3 linked regions of the Tribolium castaneum genome follow. The protein of the gene in region 1 binds, or shares a complex with, the protein of each later gene. Links are inferred from orthologs where the notes say so. Each region holds a gene or a part of one and is shown in the gene's direction. Other genes may lie near its edges.

The links. The genes of interacting proteins can lie anywhere in the genome.
Region 2: the proteins of Cam (region 1) and trp are in contact, whole or in part, in a crystal structure (PDB 7CQV), measured with the Drosophila melanogaster proteins. The link is inferred for Tribolium castaneum from reciprocal best matches to the Drosophila melanogaster genes Cam and trp. Residues at the interface, in NP_001246276.1 of Drosophila melanogaster: Glu12, Ala16, Leu19, Phe20, Lys22, Leu33, Val36, Met37, Ser39, Leu40, Gln42, Glu48, Asp51, Met52, Glu55, Val56, Ile64, Phe69, Met72, Met73, Lys76; in NP_476768.1 of Drosophila melanogaster: Gly804, Lys805, Met807, Glu808, Arg809, Ile811, Leu812, Asp814, Phe815, Gln816, Ile817, Val820, Glu821, Lys824.
Region 3: the proteins of Cam (region 1) and rdgC are in contact, whole or in part, in a crystal structure (PDB 8ZLW), measured with the Drosophila melanogaster proteins. The link is inferred for Tribolium castaneum from reciprocal best matches to the Drosophila melanogaster genes Cam and rdgC. Residues at the interface, in NP_001246276.1 of Drosophila melanogaster: Glu12, Glu15, Ala16, Leu19, Phe20, Leu33, Met37, Leu40, Met52, Glu55, Val56, Phe69, Met72, Met73, Arg75, Ser82, Glu84, Glu85, Ile86, Glu88, Ala89, Val92, Phe93, Ile101, Leu106, Val109, Met110, Leu113, Glu115, Lys116; in NP_788546.1 of Drosophila melanogaster: Asp2, Glu3, Asn4, Ala5, Ile6, Arg7, Ala8, Ala9, Ile10, Phe11, Ile12, Gln13, Lys14, Trp15, Tyr16, Arg17, Arg18, His19, Gln20, Arg23.

The regions. Positions count from the first base shown.
Region 1 is NC_087397.1:1,844,412-1,848,496, reverse strand, and holds the start of Cam (calmodulin), read left to right. Parts: upstream 1-1,285; 5' UTR 1,286-1,442; coding exon 1,443-1,445; intron 1,446-1,696; coding exon 1,697-1,871; intron 1,872-3,233; coding exon 3,234-3,476; intron 3,477-4,085. UniProt on the Drosophila melanogaster protein: Calmodulin mediates the control of a large number of enzymes, ion channels and other proteins by Ca(2+). Among the enzymes to be stimulated by the calmodulin-Ca(2+) complex are a number of protein kinases and phosphatases.
Region 2 is NC_087402.1:543,210-547,487, reverse strand, and holds the start of trp (transient receptor potential protein), read left to right. Parts: upstream 1-1,478; 5' UTR 1,479-1,543; coding exon 1,544-1,641; intron 1,642-1,944; coding exon 1,945-2,095; intron 2,096-2,150; coding exon 2,151-2,389; intron 2,390-3,867; coding exon 3,868-4,069; intron 4,070-4,116; coding exon 4,117-4,278. Other genes in the region: trpl (transient-receptor-potential-like protein), read right to left, coding at 273-453, 501-643, 694-931, 993-1,117, 1,162-1,173. UniProt on the Drosophila melanogaster protein: A light-sensitive calcium channel that is required for inositide-mediated Ca(2+) entry in the retina during phospholipase C (PLC)-mediated phototransduction.
Region 3 is NC_087402.1:8,853,186-8,857,407, reverse strand, and holds the start of rdgC (serine/threonine-protein phosphatase rdgC), read left to right. Parts: upstream 1-1,422; 5' UTR 1,423-1,564; intron 1,565-4,222. UniProt on the Drosophila melanogaster protein: Phosphatase required to prevent light-induced retinal degeneration.

The DNA.
Region 1 (4,085 bases):
GATAATCTTATCAATTTAAAGATCCCGAAGTGCTCTACAGATTCCTGCACAAATATTTTCCTTATGGTAAAACTACCGACAAGAGTAAACATCTCATAAAACACGAAATTGCATTATCCTGAACTTTAATATTAACCTTGATGAAATTTTTAATAACAGACTTCCGACAATAAAACTGTTTTTCAAGCATTTGCATTACGATCTTTTAGAACTCCCTTCAAATTGTTATGGGCATGTGACGTCACCGACCAATATTGCCAGTTTGGAGTATTAAACTGACGATAATGTAAATCTTTTTAGCAACGACTCAATTTTTTTCTAACAATTTTTATTAAAAAAAAAGAAAATGCGGAAAAAATTTCAGTTAATCTATGTGTCATTGTTTTACTAAACACATCTAAAAAAGTTGGCAATATTTATTTTGCATAAAGTGACTCATGGTACAGTTCCAGTCAGAAATTATGTCACGCGACTGTTACGCACGGGTGAAATTTACTGAACCAATATCAAGGTCACGAAAAATTTCAAATTGTGGATCAATTATGTAGAAATTTTAACTGAATAAAAAACTTCTAGTTATTAATTTGTTTTATTATTCCCATCACGCCTTCTGCATTCAAATTTTCAAAACCCTTGCTATTTATCGTGGTTCAAGTATCTCAAGACGCAATAAATACTTATTGATCCAACGCCTTGTTTCCACACCACCCTGTATATGCACCTTCCCGAATGCATTAATTGAATTAGACGCCAAGTTGCGCAGCGTGCTATGGCTGTCAATTTGCGAAAAAAAAGGCGATCGTTTTCGGACCCTCACACACCTCATGCCCCAAAGCCCTTCGCCGAACTGCTTCCCGGCCCCAATCAGGGGGCGTTTCCTTTGTTTTTCGTCGGTGCGCCACTGCCGCACCCGAGCAGCGTCGCCCCGAATCCGACGCATCACGCCGTTACTTGAACCACCGCGTGCACGGCTTGCTTGACGCATTGCAGGTACATATCGACCAATGGGAACGCAGCTCCGTACGAAAGTACGTTGTAAACAAGCCGCGCCCGACATTCAAACGTGGCGGACTCTCCGCGCGCAAAACTAGATCCGGGGCTTTGCGGCTTTGGGGGGCTCAATTTTGAAAAAGCGTCTTTGTGGGGGCTTGTGGCGGGTTCTCGCGAGGTTTGGGGGGGTTTTTGTGGCGCTGGGGGCCCGCGGGGGGCCTCGGTGGGGGCGGGCTGGGCGTAGGAATATTTACTCGTTGGTGTCGTAGCCGCACTATTGCGCTTTGGCGGTAGTGCTTTCGCAGCCCCTCCACCCTCCCATCCTAAACAAAACGAGAAAAGACACAGACGCAGACAGTTGGCTGGTGCACTTTGACGCGAAAAGTCGCAAGTGACAGTTGTTTTCGTGGCAAAGAATTGTTTAGAGTGCCCTTTTTACCGGAAATACAGCCATGGTAAGTGGGCCGGAGGCGGCCGAAGGGCGGCTTTGGGGCGCGGGGCTGCGGATGGTCGCGCTTCGCGCGGATATTTCTGGTTTGTGATGCTTTCGCAAATAGCTGTCAGTTGCCGTAAACCGGTAAATTGGTTTACCGCAATGCGGACAAATTCAATTTCGACGGCTATTTTCGACGGTATTGCTAAATTTCGACGCTGGGGACTTGTATCGATCTGTTGCTTGGGGTGTTTACTTTCTGATGGCTTGTAGGCTGACCAACTCACCGAGGAGCAGATCGCCGAGTTCAAAGAGGCTTTTTCGCTGTTCGACAAGGACGGCGATGGCACGATCACTACCAAAGAATTAGGAACTGTTATGAGATCACTAGGACAAAATCCCACGGAGGCAGAACTCCAGGATATGATCAATGAAGTAGATGCCGATGGTAAGATCAACTCGACTTCGATAAACAAACGACTGTTTTGACAGGGCTTTTTTCTATTGCCAACTTAACCGTGTGACCGTTAGGACCATCTGTTGCCAGTTTGATTATTTGCCTTCAACGTTTGTTTTATTAAGAAAAACGGAATGATGTAATTATTGCCAGATAAAACTTTATCGCTACATACTATTCAAAGTGTAACAGTTTGATCGGTTATTTTTTACCAACGTTGATAAACCGATAATGGACTGCATTGTTCTCAAATAGACTATACAATCGGTGATAAAATCGCAACTCTCGATAATCCCAATTAAAAATTCTTCATAGAAACAAACTTATCTTATCGCAAATACGTCATCGATATTTGGCTGTGACGGTTATTAATTAAATAGCAAACCCCAATCAAAAGTTTTTTCATCATAAAGTTGGTAACGAATTCAAAAAGTACGTTAATGACTAAACTTTGAGTAAGATGAGTAACTTATGTCCACAGCATGAGTAATTTCACCTTTCGGAAAAACACCTATGCATTGATTAGAACAATTTATCATTAAAAAAAACGTAGATAATTTCGACGAAAAGTAAAGAAATCGGTTCTTAAAAATATCGAATAAAACATCACTTTAATAATTTGACCCAGTGTTGGTTATAGGCCGCTGCTAGACACTAGAAAAATCGCCCATCTGTATGTAGATCAGCGTCGGTCGAATCGCATTAGCCATGAAATTACCCCGTGGCACCCAAGATAATTTGCGAAACAGCATTCATTTGTTATTCAATGACAGTTCGCACTCCTAAGCCAACGATGATGGTCCATAAAGGCTAAGATTACGCTATGAATTTTAATAGAGCGGACTAACTGTGTGAAGGAAAATGAAAATGCACAAGTATTGAATATTTCAGACGTGGATATTGTTTTAAAAAAGATAACGTTTGACTGAGTCGAGTTTGAACGGGAGAAAACCAATTTTTTCATGTTGCGGTTTTGTTTATCAAATAGTGACGGAAATTCCTGTTTTCTTAATTTATAACAATGAAGGCGTGAATGTTGACACGGATGCGTAGTGGCGCCGCCACTATACGAAGGGCTATAAATTTTTATAAATTGATTATTACTGCGCTCCCTGGAGACGCAAAGGTCGCAACTATTTGGAGAATTCTGGTGTGTTTTTCGGAGGATGTTATTTTCGTATTTATTGCTGTGGCAGCGCAATTTCGGGCCGTGTTCTTTGCAGTTTTAGTACCTTTTTAATTATCCTAAACTATCGAAGGATAAGTAAATTAGATTATTTTCCGTAATGCGATTCCAAAAATAACAATTCGATGTGGGATTTTTCTGGGTGACACAGTTTTTTGGGTGTTTAGGTAATGGTACAATCGATTTTCCTGAGTTCCTAACGATGATGGCCCGTAAAATGAAGGACACCGATAGTGAAGAAGAAATTCGCGAGGCATTCCGAGTATTCGACAAAGACGGCAACGGTTTCATTTCGGCAGCCGAATTGCGTCACGTGATGACAAACCTCGGTGAGAAGTTAACCGATGAAGAAGTCGATGAAATGATCCGAGAAGCTGATATAGACGGCGACGGTCAGGTCAATTACGAAGGTAATGTTTTTTCGGGTGTTTTGTGTGTTGTACATTTATCATTTTTGTCGGGTATAGTGTAGTAGGCTTGGGACGATCACGGGTCTTTGATTTTCGTTTGGGTTTTATGTGAATGTAGCTCTTTTTTTTTTGGTTTTATTTCGATATGTGTTCTAGGCCAGGAAGGTATGACTGGTAGTGTTCCTTTGCAGATTTCCGAGCTCTAGCTCTCATAGTTTTCAGTCGGTACTCAGCCACACATGCTTCGAGCTGGTCAGTTGTAGTCTTGCTTTGGGAATGTGCTTAGTGGCATGTTATTTTGTTACTGTTCTACCTATCACTGTCTTGAGCACTCTTTGACGATGTGTCTATTCGCTTTTTATGGTTAGAGTTGTTTTTGATTACCAACAGTGAAGCACATTTCCAAAAAACTTTGACTGCATCTTCATTATTGTCGTAGATACAATTAACAAAAACTAATTAAAACAATAAAAAAGTAATGTGCGCATTACGATTTCAGAAGTTTCTTGGCTAATACGAATGAAAATTATTCGTACCAGTAATAACGTTTCACTTATATCGATGTAGTGCACCCAACACGATTCTTTATTACGTTGGGATTATGTTGTG
Region 2 (4,278 bases), on another chromosome or scaffold:
CTTTTAGTTTTTGAGTTATGAATTTTTTTATTGAATAAAATTTTTCATTATAGAAATTGCCTATTTTAATTTTTTGCAAAAAATTTTAAAATGTCAGATCTCGTTGAAAGTTGGTTTTATACAGAAAATGAGCCGCTGAATTCAATGGAACAAACCGCATTGCTCTTTTAGTTTTTGAGTTATGAATTTTTTTATTCTAAAACTTTTAGTCTAAGTTTTATAGTTCCGGAGTTATTGCATGATGAATGAATAAAAATTGTCTATCTACTTACCGGTTCAGCAAACGCCAGATTCCTCAATTCCCACGACAATTGAAACGCTGTTAAAATCGGATCACTTGACGAAAGTGCAATCAAAGACGGACTTGCCAGAGCTTTGTACTCGTTTAGTCTCGCTAACGAGTGTCGTAAATAATCCTCTTCAGATTCTTTGATACATTCATCACATCCACATCTACGATTTTTAGTTATTTTTATTTATTTTTTTATTTATGGTCGTACTTGATATCATGTGGCATCGGAATAGTCGCTCCTCTGTCTAACAAAATTTTCAAAATTTCGTAATTATTTCGATGGGCGGCCAAAGTCAAGGGAGTGATATCAGGTGTGAACATGGCAGTGTTGATGTCAACTTTTTGCCAACTCTGCAAAATATTTGCTCAAATGAAGCAAAATAAAGTTAACAAAAACTTACATAAGGCTCCCCATCTTTGTGGATCAACTCCTCGTGTTCCAACAAAAGCTCAACAGCTTCCACAAACTCTACGTGAATAGCATGCAGAAGAGCATCTCTAGTTTCCACTCCCATGATCACCAGGAGTTCCACCATTTCGAGATGCTCTTGGTCGATGGCAATCGATAAAGCACCACGTCCTAGACTATCCACACAATTAATATCAAACGATTTTTTCCGGTGGGCTTTTTGCAACATTCTGGAAGAAATAATCGTGTTACTTATTAAATTGTGTTGGTGGTTATTATTTATTCCATTACCGGCGAACATTTGCCATGTCTCCACGTTCAATGGCCAATAAATATTTTTTTTCTTCAATTGAAAGTGACTTGGGCAAGTTGGGCATGATTAGGGTCTTGCGTGTGACTTTAGCCTCAACATCAACCTATCACAAGACAATTAATTAGGGGAAAATTTAATGAAACTTACCGAATCCCCCATTTTGCACAAATTTAGGCGATCACATTACTCTCTAGAAAAATAGGGCGAGTAATAAGTTAGTAATAATCTTGTAAGCGCTTATAACTATGGTCTAATCACATTATTGTCTTTATTAAATTAGATTACACCAAACGAGTGCATTACACTAACCGACTTTTTGGTAAAATTACTATTGGTTTAAATGCAATAAAGCAACTAAGAAAATTGATTGCGCCAATAAGGAATTTTTGGTGATTTTTTCCAACTCAAAACTCCTATTATATAACGCTCCTGGGAGTAATCCTCTTGGCTTTGTCCCGCATTTTAATTCAATTAATAGTGAGGGTCAATACAAACTTGAAAGTATTCTCGATGCGACAAGTGATTGAAAATGTTTGGATCTGATTGTAATAATGAAAGGGCGTTAAGTCAGGTGGAAAAATCGTTTTTGCTTCATGCCGAAAGGGGTGATTGTGCTACAGTTCGCAGGTAATTTTTTATAGCATATTTCATTGTCAGTTGTTTTGAGTGGGTAAAATTGCACTTTAACAAGGGTAGATAAAATATTATTTTAACACTAATTTTTTTCTATTAAATTACTTATTGAAAAAATGTAGTATACATGACAATAAAGATGGTTGATGGTCTTTTAATTAATTATAATTTCAGTTTTCCATTTTTTTTGTTTTTTCTTTGCTGTTTTAGAGTTTTTTAATTTTGTTTTTGTATTCCATTTTCTAAGTTTTTTGCTTTTAAAAATAAACAAGAAATTAATTGCGAAAAAAATAATAGGATAATTGAGGAATATGGTGGTGGTGAGGGCGATCAAGAGTTTGATATAAACTGCATCGATGCTCTAAATCGCTCAGCGTTCGTTATAGCAATTGAGAATGGAAATATCGAGCTGGTGAAGCTTCTCCTTGAGTCGCAGATTGACGTTAAAGTAATCGCAAGTAATAATAAGTTTTATTTTTAGTGCTGCGAAATTTTAATTGCAGGATGGATTGCTTCATGCAATAAATGAGGAATTTGTGGAAGCGGTTGAAATGCTTTTAGATTGGGAGGAGAGGACGCATCAAGTTGGCGATTTGTACAGTTGGGAAAAAGTCGAACGGTGTTCGGCCACTTTTACACCTGATATTACACCTCTGGTCTTAGCCGGGCATAAAAATAATTACGAGATTATTAAGCTGTTGCTGGATAGAGGAGCCACTCTTCCATTGCCTCACGATGTCAAGTAATTAAATTGAAAAATGAAAAATTACACTATTTAGGTCGAAATTTCTGATTTTTTGACTAGAAAAATGTGCTTAATTTCGACTTAATTTGGTGTTTTTTTTGGTAATTCTCTTAGTCTGTTTTGCGCAAAATGAGAGATTGTACAAGAACAAGTTTAAACCGAGGAGCCGTTTTCAAGTGCATAAAACTTTGCTTTAGTGATTTAAAAAAACTGCAACCGCAATGCTCTACGACTTTTAGTTTTTTTTTTATGAATTTTTTTAGTGAAAAACTTTGATCGCTTCTGTAGCCAGAACCGTTGCCCGGAGGGGCTCCGGGTTTGGTCGAAAAAATAAATAAAATTAAGCGCTATCAGATGGTTTTTTGCTCGTTGCTCTAAGTCTTACAGTTTCCGAGAAAAACGCAAAAAATGTTTCTATTTTCACTTTTTTTCAATTTTCAACCGCCAATTACGGCCAAACTATTAGAGTTATCGAAAAACGGAAAAATCGTGGACAACCGGAATAAAAAACTCTACAAAATGGCATAGGACTCAAGGCGATATCTCGCAAAAAAATTCAATTTTCATACGCCGATTACGGCCAAACTAAAAGAACTAGGAGAAAACGCTTTTTTCCATCAGAAAGAGCACATCAAAATCTATAAGATAGAATAGGTTTTATTTGACTTTGAGACATTTTTAAAATTGACCGATTTTAAGGGGGGGGTGTTAACTTTTTTTTAATTTTTTTATTTTCTCATTTACGGTTAAACTATTTTAAAATGTGGAACTATTTTGATCCATATCTATGCAAAATGATCCGGGGAATCGATTGGCATCGAGAAAATTACCAAATTCCGAATAGTTTTTTAGTTATGAATTTTTTAAAATTTCACCAATTTTTGCATTTGTCAGCAATTTGCTCGAAAACTATAAGTCAGAGAACATTAATCTTTTTTGAAAAAAATAGATAATCTAAAGAGCTTTCCAACGATAATACACTTCATGGGATTATCTCTGATAGTTCCGGAGCTATTGCTCGACACATGTTCCGGGTACCCAAAATCGACAAAAATTACGACGAAAATTGAAAAAATCAAACATAAAAAAATCGAATATTTCACTTTTTGTGGACTTTTAACAACTCTAGAGGGATGTAAAAGCATATAAAAGTCCAAAAAACTATAATAGGACAAGTTTAAAAAAAAATAATTTTTCCACCTTTTTGAAGGTAAGTAAGTGTATTAAGCAAATTTTAAGCAAAATAATTCAAAATTTTAAATCTCGTGAAAAGTTAGTATAATACAGAAAATGAGCCGCTGAATTCACTGGAACAAACCGTTTTGCTCTACGGCTTTTAGTTTTTGATTTATGAATTTTTTTGTTGAATTGTTTTTGTTTTCTTCTCAACTTTTTAAAATTTGTACAATTAATTCGGCCTCTCGGTTCAAACGTTCGAAAATTTTTTTTAATTTTTTTCCTGATTAATTTTTAAGATGTGGTTGTGACGAATGCGTTTGCTCAAACCAAAGTGACTCTTTACGACATTCTCAAGCTCGGATCAACTCCTACAAAGCTCTAACATCCCCTTCACTCATTTCCCTCTCATCCACTGACCCTCTATTTACTGCTTTCGAACTTTCGGGCGACTTGAGACGTCTCAGTCGACTAGAAACCGAATTTCGAGCCGAATATAACGTAAGTTATTTTTTTTCTAAACCCAACTTCACCTCACTCACTTGTAGAACATGCGAACTGTTGTGGAAAATTTCGCAGCTTTGCTCCTAGACCATGTAAAAACCTCAGAAGAATTAATGATTCTGTTGAACTACGACGAAAAAAATCCTTCATGGGTTTTGGGCGAACAACAAACTTTGGGACGCTTAAAACTCGCCATAAAATTTAAA
Region 3 (4,222 bases), on another chromosome or scaffold:
TAAGTTTGCTAATTTTTTCAGCACCTGTCTACACGAAAGGCAATAAAAATGTGGAAAAACTTCTGTTATTGTGAGATTTATTTCAGTGTCGATGTCAATATAAGCTGTCTCACCGATTTATATTTATGTTCAGAGGCGACATTCCTATTTCTAGTTTTATCTAAAAATTTAGAAAATTTATTCATGCTTTACGACACTCAAGTCGAGTGTTTTGCGAAAATATGAAAATAAAAAAATAAACACTGAATTTAGAAAAGTTTATTTTTCTTAATTAGATCCGGTCACCTCCAACTTTTCCTCATGTTACGACAGAATAAACCAATAGACTGATTTTGTACTCACTGTTCGCTCTCCCAAGTATCTAAACTTTGTAACGAATTAAATTTTAATACGTAAACCTGGAAGTCTGTACTTACCTTGAATTTCTCAGAGAAGCACACTTGCATGGTATATGAGCTCATTTTTCGCGGATAATATTATGCAGAAAGAGGATTATTCCCTGTGAATTATATTTTAATTAAAACCGAAATACGACAATTTTTAATAACAAGATTTCTCGAAAGCCTAATTCGTACTCTCTTTAATTACTCTACTGTGTGATTTCAAAGCAGTTGAAATTTTTGCTGAAATTTAGAACAATTACGTTGTTGTACTCTATTGTTTAGGAAGAACGCTTGTTATCACCTCTCGTATAGATTATGGACTCCAGTGTGTCCTTTCACCTTTCTATTTTCGATCAATATACCCTACTTACAAAAGGCCAGCCATTCATCTCAATACCAGGTTGTAATAGTAAAGGCCCAAAAAGTTACGAACCAAATTTTAGCTTTATTCAGGATAACACGACCACTGCAGTAGTGTTTTGTCAAGGCTACATAAAATTATTTAATTACGATCATTATTGACTTAAATTTGCTTCGCCACGCAAATGTCAGAAACAAATTCGATTTAGCTGCAGTAAAGCAATAAAGTTGTGAATTCATAAATAACATCTTTCTCTAATTTATATTTCCTTTTCAGCGACGATTTTAAGTTCATTAAGATATTTTGAATCACTTTGTTCTTTCCGGTCCTTTCTCTCTGTGATCATATCTCAAAAATACGTCCCACTTATCTCTGTGTCGAAGTAAATTCAATTAAAACAACATGAAAGCGGGATGTTATTTATTCAAAATTCAGCTGATAACAAAATTTATATTTTTAATTAGTCCAGTTTACTTAAACAGGAATTTAATTAGTTTGCGAATGCTACACAGAAATATTTTTCAGGATTAAATATTTTAAATACAATTTGGAGATGTATGTTGGAATTTCCTGGCGGAGGACACTTCCTTGCATTCCTGTGAATCCCCAATATCGATCTTTTTTCGATTAAGGGCGAAAAGTGAAAATTTCGGAACGCTTGCGCTTGCTACTTAGGCGCCGCAGTGCTTTAAAAAGTTGGTAAGCGTCACGACGCAAAGCGTCAGTTAGCGTCGGTGGGCTAGCGAGCCAACAGCATCGCGTAAATTCTTATCTTACAAATACGACGTGACACAACTTTTCTAACATCGGTTATCACGTGGTAAGCTTTAAATCACCCTTTCTGACATATGGCGCAACGAGCTTTCGATGCTGAATTTTTCGAAAAAGTTTCGACTTTCTCAAGTTTCTTCTAAATATAATAAAACTGACCCTAATATGAAAATCTAACCGGATCAATTCTGACGCTTTTAAAAATAACGTACAATCAGCTGATGTCGGGGTATAAATTTAGAAATACTCGCCCAATTTTCTACTGGACACTGCATCCTGTCTCAGGTTGAGTAATAACTCGCACCTGAAATTCGTTAACCGCGGGCCAATATTGATTTCACCACCGAATATCGGTGCAAGATTCATCAGTTTTTTGTTTACGTTCAGTTTTTTAGGTGGGTGTTAATAATTAAGAGCGCGATATTGTTTTATATCAGCTTTTGACGCCACTACACATTTTTTACAACAAAGCTCTGGACAAGCTTGTTTATATTCAACACTCATTCGACATCGATTTTAGTTATTGACGAATTCGTAAACGTGCTGATGACTTCGCTCTAAATTAATATTATCAATTTCCTTTCAGTTTAAAAATTTGAAACTGCCCTTTAATTGGAGAGGTCATGAATTGCTGAACGCTTTGTCCTGCAATCGATCAAACTTAGCGCAAACAAAAACAAGATTGTGTTGTGTGTGGAAAACCGTTCTTAATGTATGAAGGGAATGTCTTTCATACAAATTTTGTGGAACGAGCCCAAACTCTTTAGTAAAAAAAAATCAAAAAGAAGGTTTTTATTTTTTGCCTGTTAGCTCAGTCCGAGTATAAATTATTTGTCATAATTTTAAAGCTTAAAAAGTAATTTTGCTTATTCTCAACCTGCGTGGTTAGAAAAATAACTGGAATAAATTGTGCACGTACAACTCATCGTAAAAAATCATCCCATGTAAAACGAAATTTTTACGTAAAACGCTTCAGCCGTCCTTGGGAAAGATAAATGTGATGAATATTTTTACAGGACTGCTTATCGACAAGGCATAAATTTATAAAAGCGAAGTTTTGTAATAAATGTTTTATACAAATATGTAAGCTGTTTGGAAACATGTTTACCGAAGCTTGAGCCACTTTAAGAAAGGGTAAAGGACAAAACGGTCAAGGACCAACAAGAGGTAACCCAGTTGTTACATTTTTGCAGCGCTTGTAAACCGGCCGTTTATTGCGAATATTAAATTCTCGCACGTTTGATCCTGAGCATAATCCCATTCCCGAGTTAATTTTTGCCAACGGAATCGAAACATCTATTTTGATAAACGCGCTTCAGACGCACTCCCATATAAACTCTCGATTTTGTATTCCCCCGAAAATAGCTTTCCCAATCAAATCGCACTTTGTCTTTAAAAATAAATAATGTAAATTTCCGTGATTTAACGCGAGTTTTATGACTGGATTTCGCTTAAATGAATTATCTCAGCCTTTGAAACAAACCTACATTCAGATGGATTGAGATACAAAAGACCCATTATGCGGCTGGATGGGCTCGAATCAGGGGCGTCACTGGGTCTTTTCAAAACCATGGACCCCTTAGACTTGCTACAGAATAAACGCATTGTGCTATTATCCGATTGCGAAATCTTGCACACCCACGAGTGTTTTTAGCACATCCTGTTAACATTGAGATGGAATTGTGTTTGATTGTCTTTGAAAAACCAAATCCCTCCGAGCAATTTTTATACTAAAATTGGCAAAAATCCGCAACTGAAAGAGACTTTGCTTTTATCCCACCGTATTTTATGTCTGCAACCTCACAAGCAAATCACATATTTGCCATATACATGAAAAATATTGTGAGTACTTATCGGCTAACAAAGTTACAACTCTCAAAGATAGTAAGTTGCTCTTCCGTTCAACTTATGCATGAAAATTACATTTAATTTCAGAAAGCACGTTCCTGCCAGACACAAAGGATTACTAAAGTCCTTTCAGCAAGAATTTACATAAAAATTCCGTATTAACATATTTAAAATTATCCCGGCTTAAATGTGACTCAAATTTTAGTTTCTGTTTCAATATCTAAACAACTCAGCTATTAATATTCACATGTTGCATCAAATGAACTGTTGGTAGCGTCATAATCTGGACCAAATTCTCGCATTAAACAATATAAAGCTCAAAGCCTTGCTGGGGCTAAATAAAACTTAATTTGCGTCCCAGACGTGCATTAGAGGATGTCTTGGCGCTCTGTACACAAAAACAGATAAATAGATGGTTGTATCCGAACGACGAATTCAATTTTCGAGAGTTAACGGATGCAGTGCTGACAACCTGACGACGAGTAAGCCAATATGCGCCAAATTACAAAACGTAAACAAATGATGTCGTTTTTACGATGACATGGCAAAATGTTGGATTATTTGAGATAGCGTCTACAATTTGAATATTTGATTCAATTTATTCTCCTGGAGTTGGCGTTTGGTAAAAGGGGATCTTCGTAGCGTCCCAGTTCACGCAAGAAGGGATTTTTTTATAAAAAAGAAATCAACCTGAGCGAACGCTACAACTTTTAAGCTTCGAAAGTTGCCAAGGTGTGACGGATTTTTTCAATAGGGAGCTTTGAATATGCCACTGCTTTTAAATTAAATAAGTAATGTGAGTGAGCTTTCGACTTTTAGCACTGAGACAGGGCCTGTCTGTTAGTACGCTGCGCTTCAA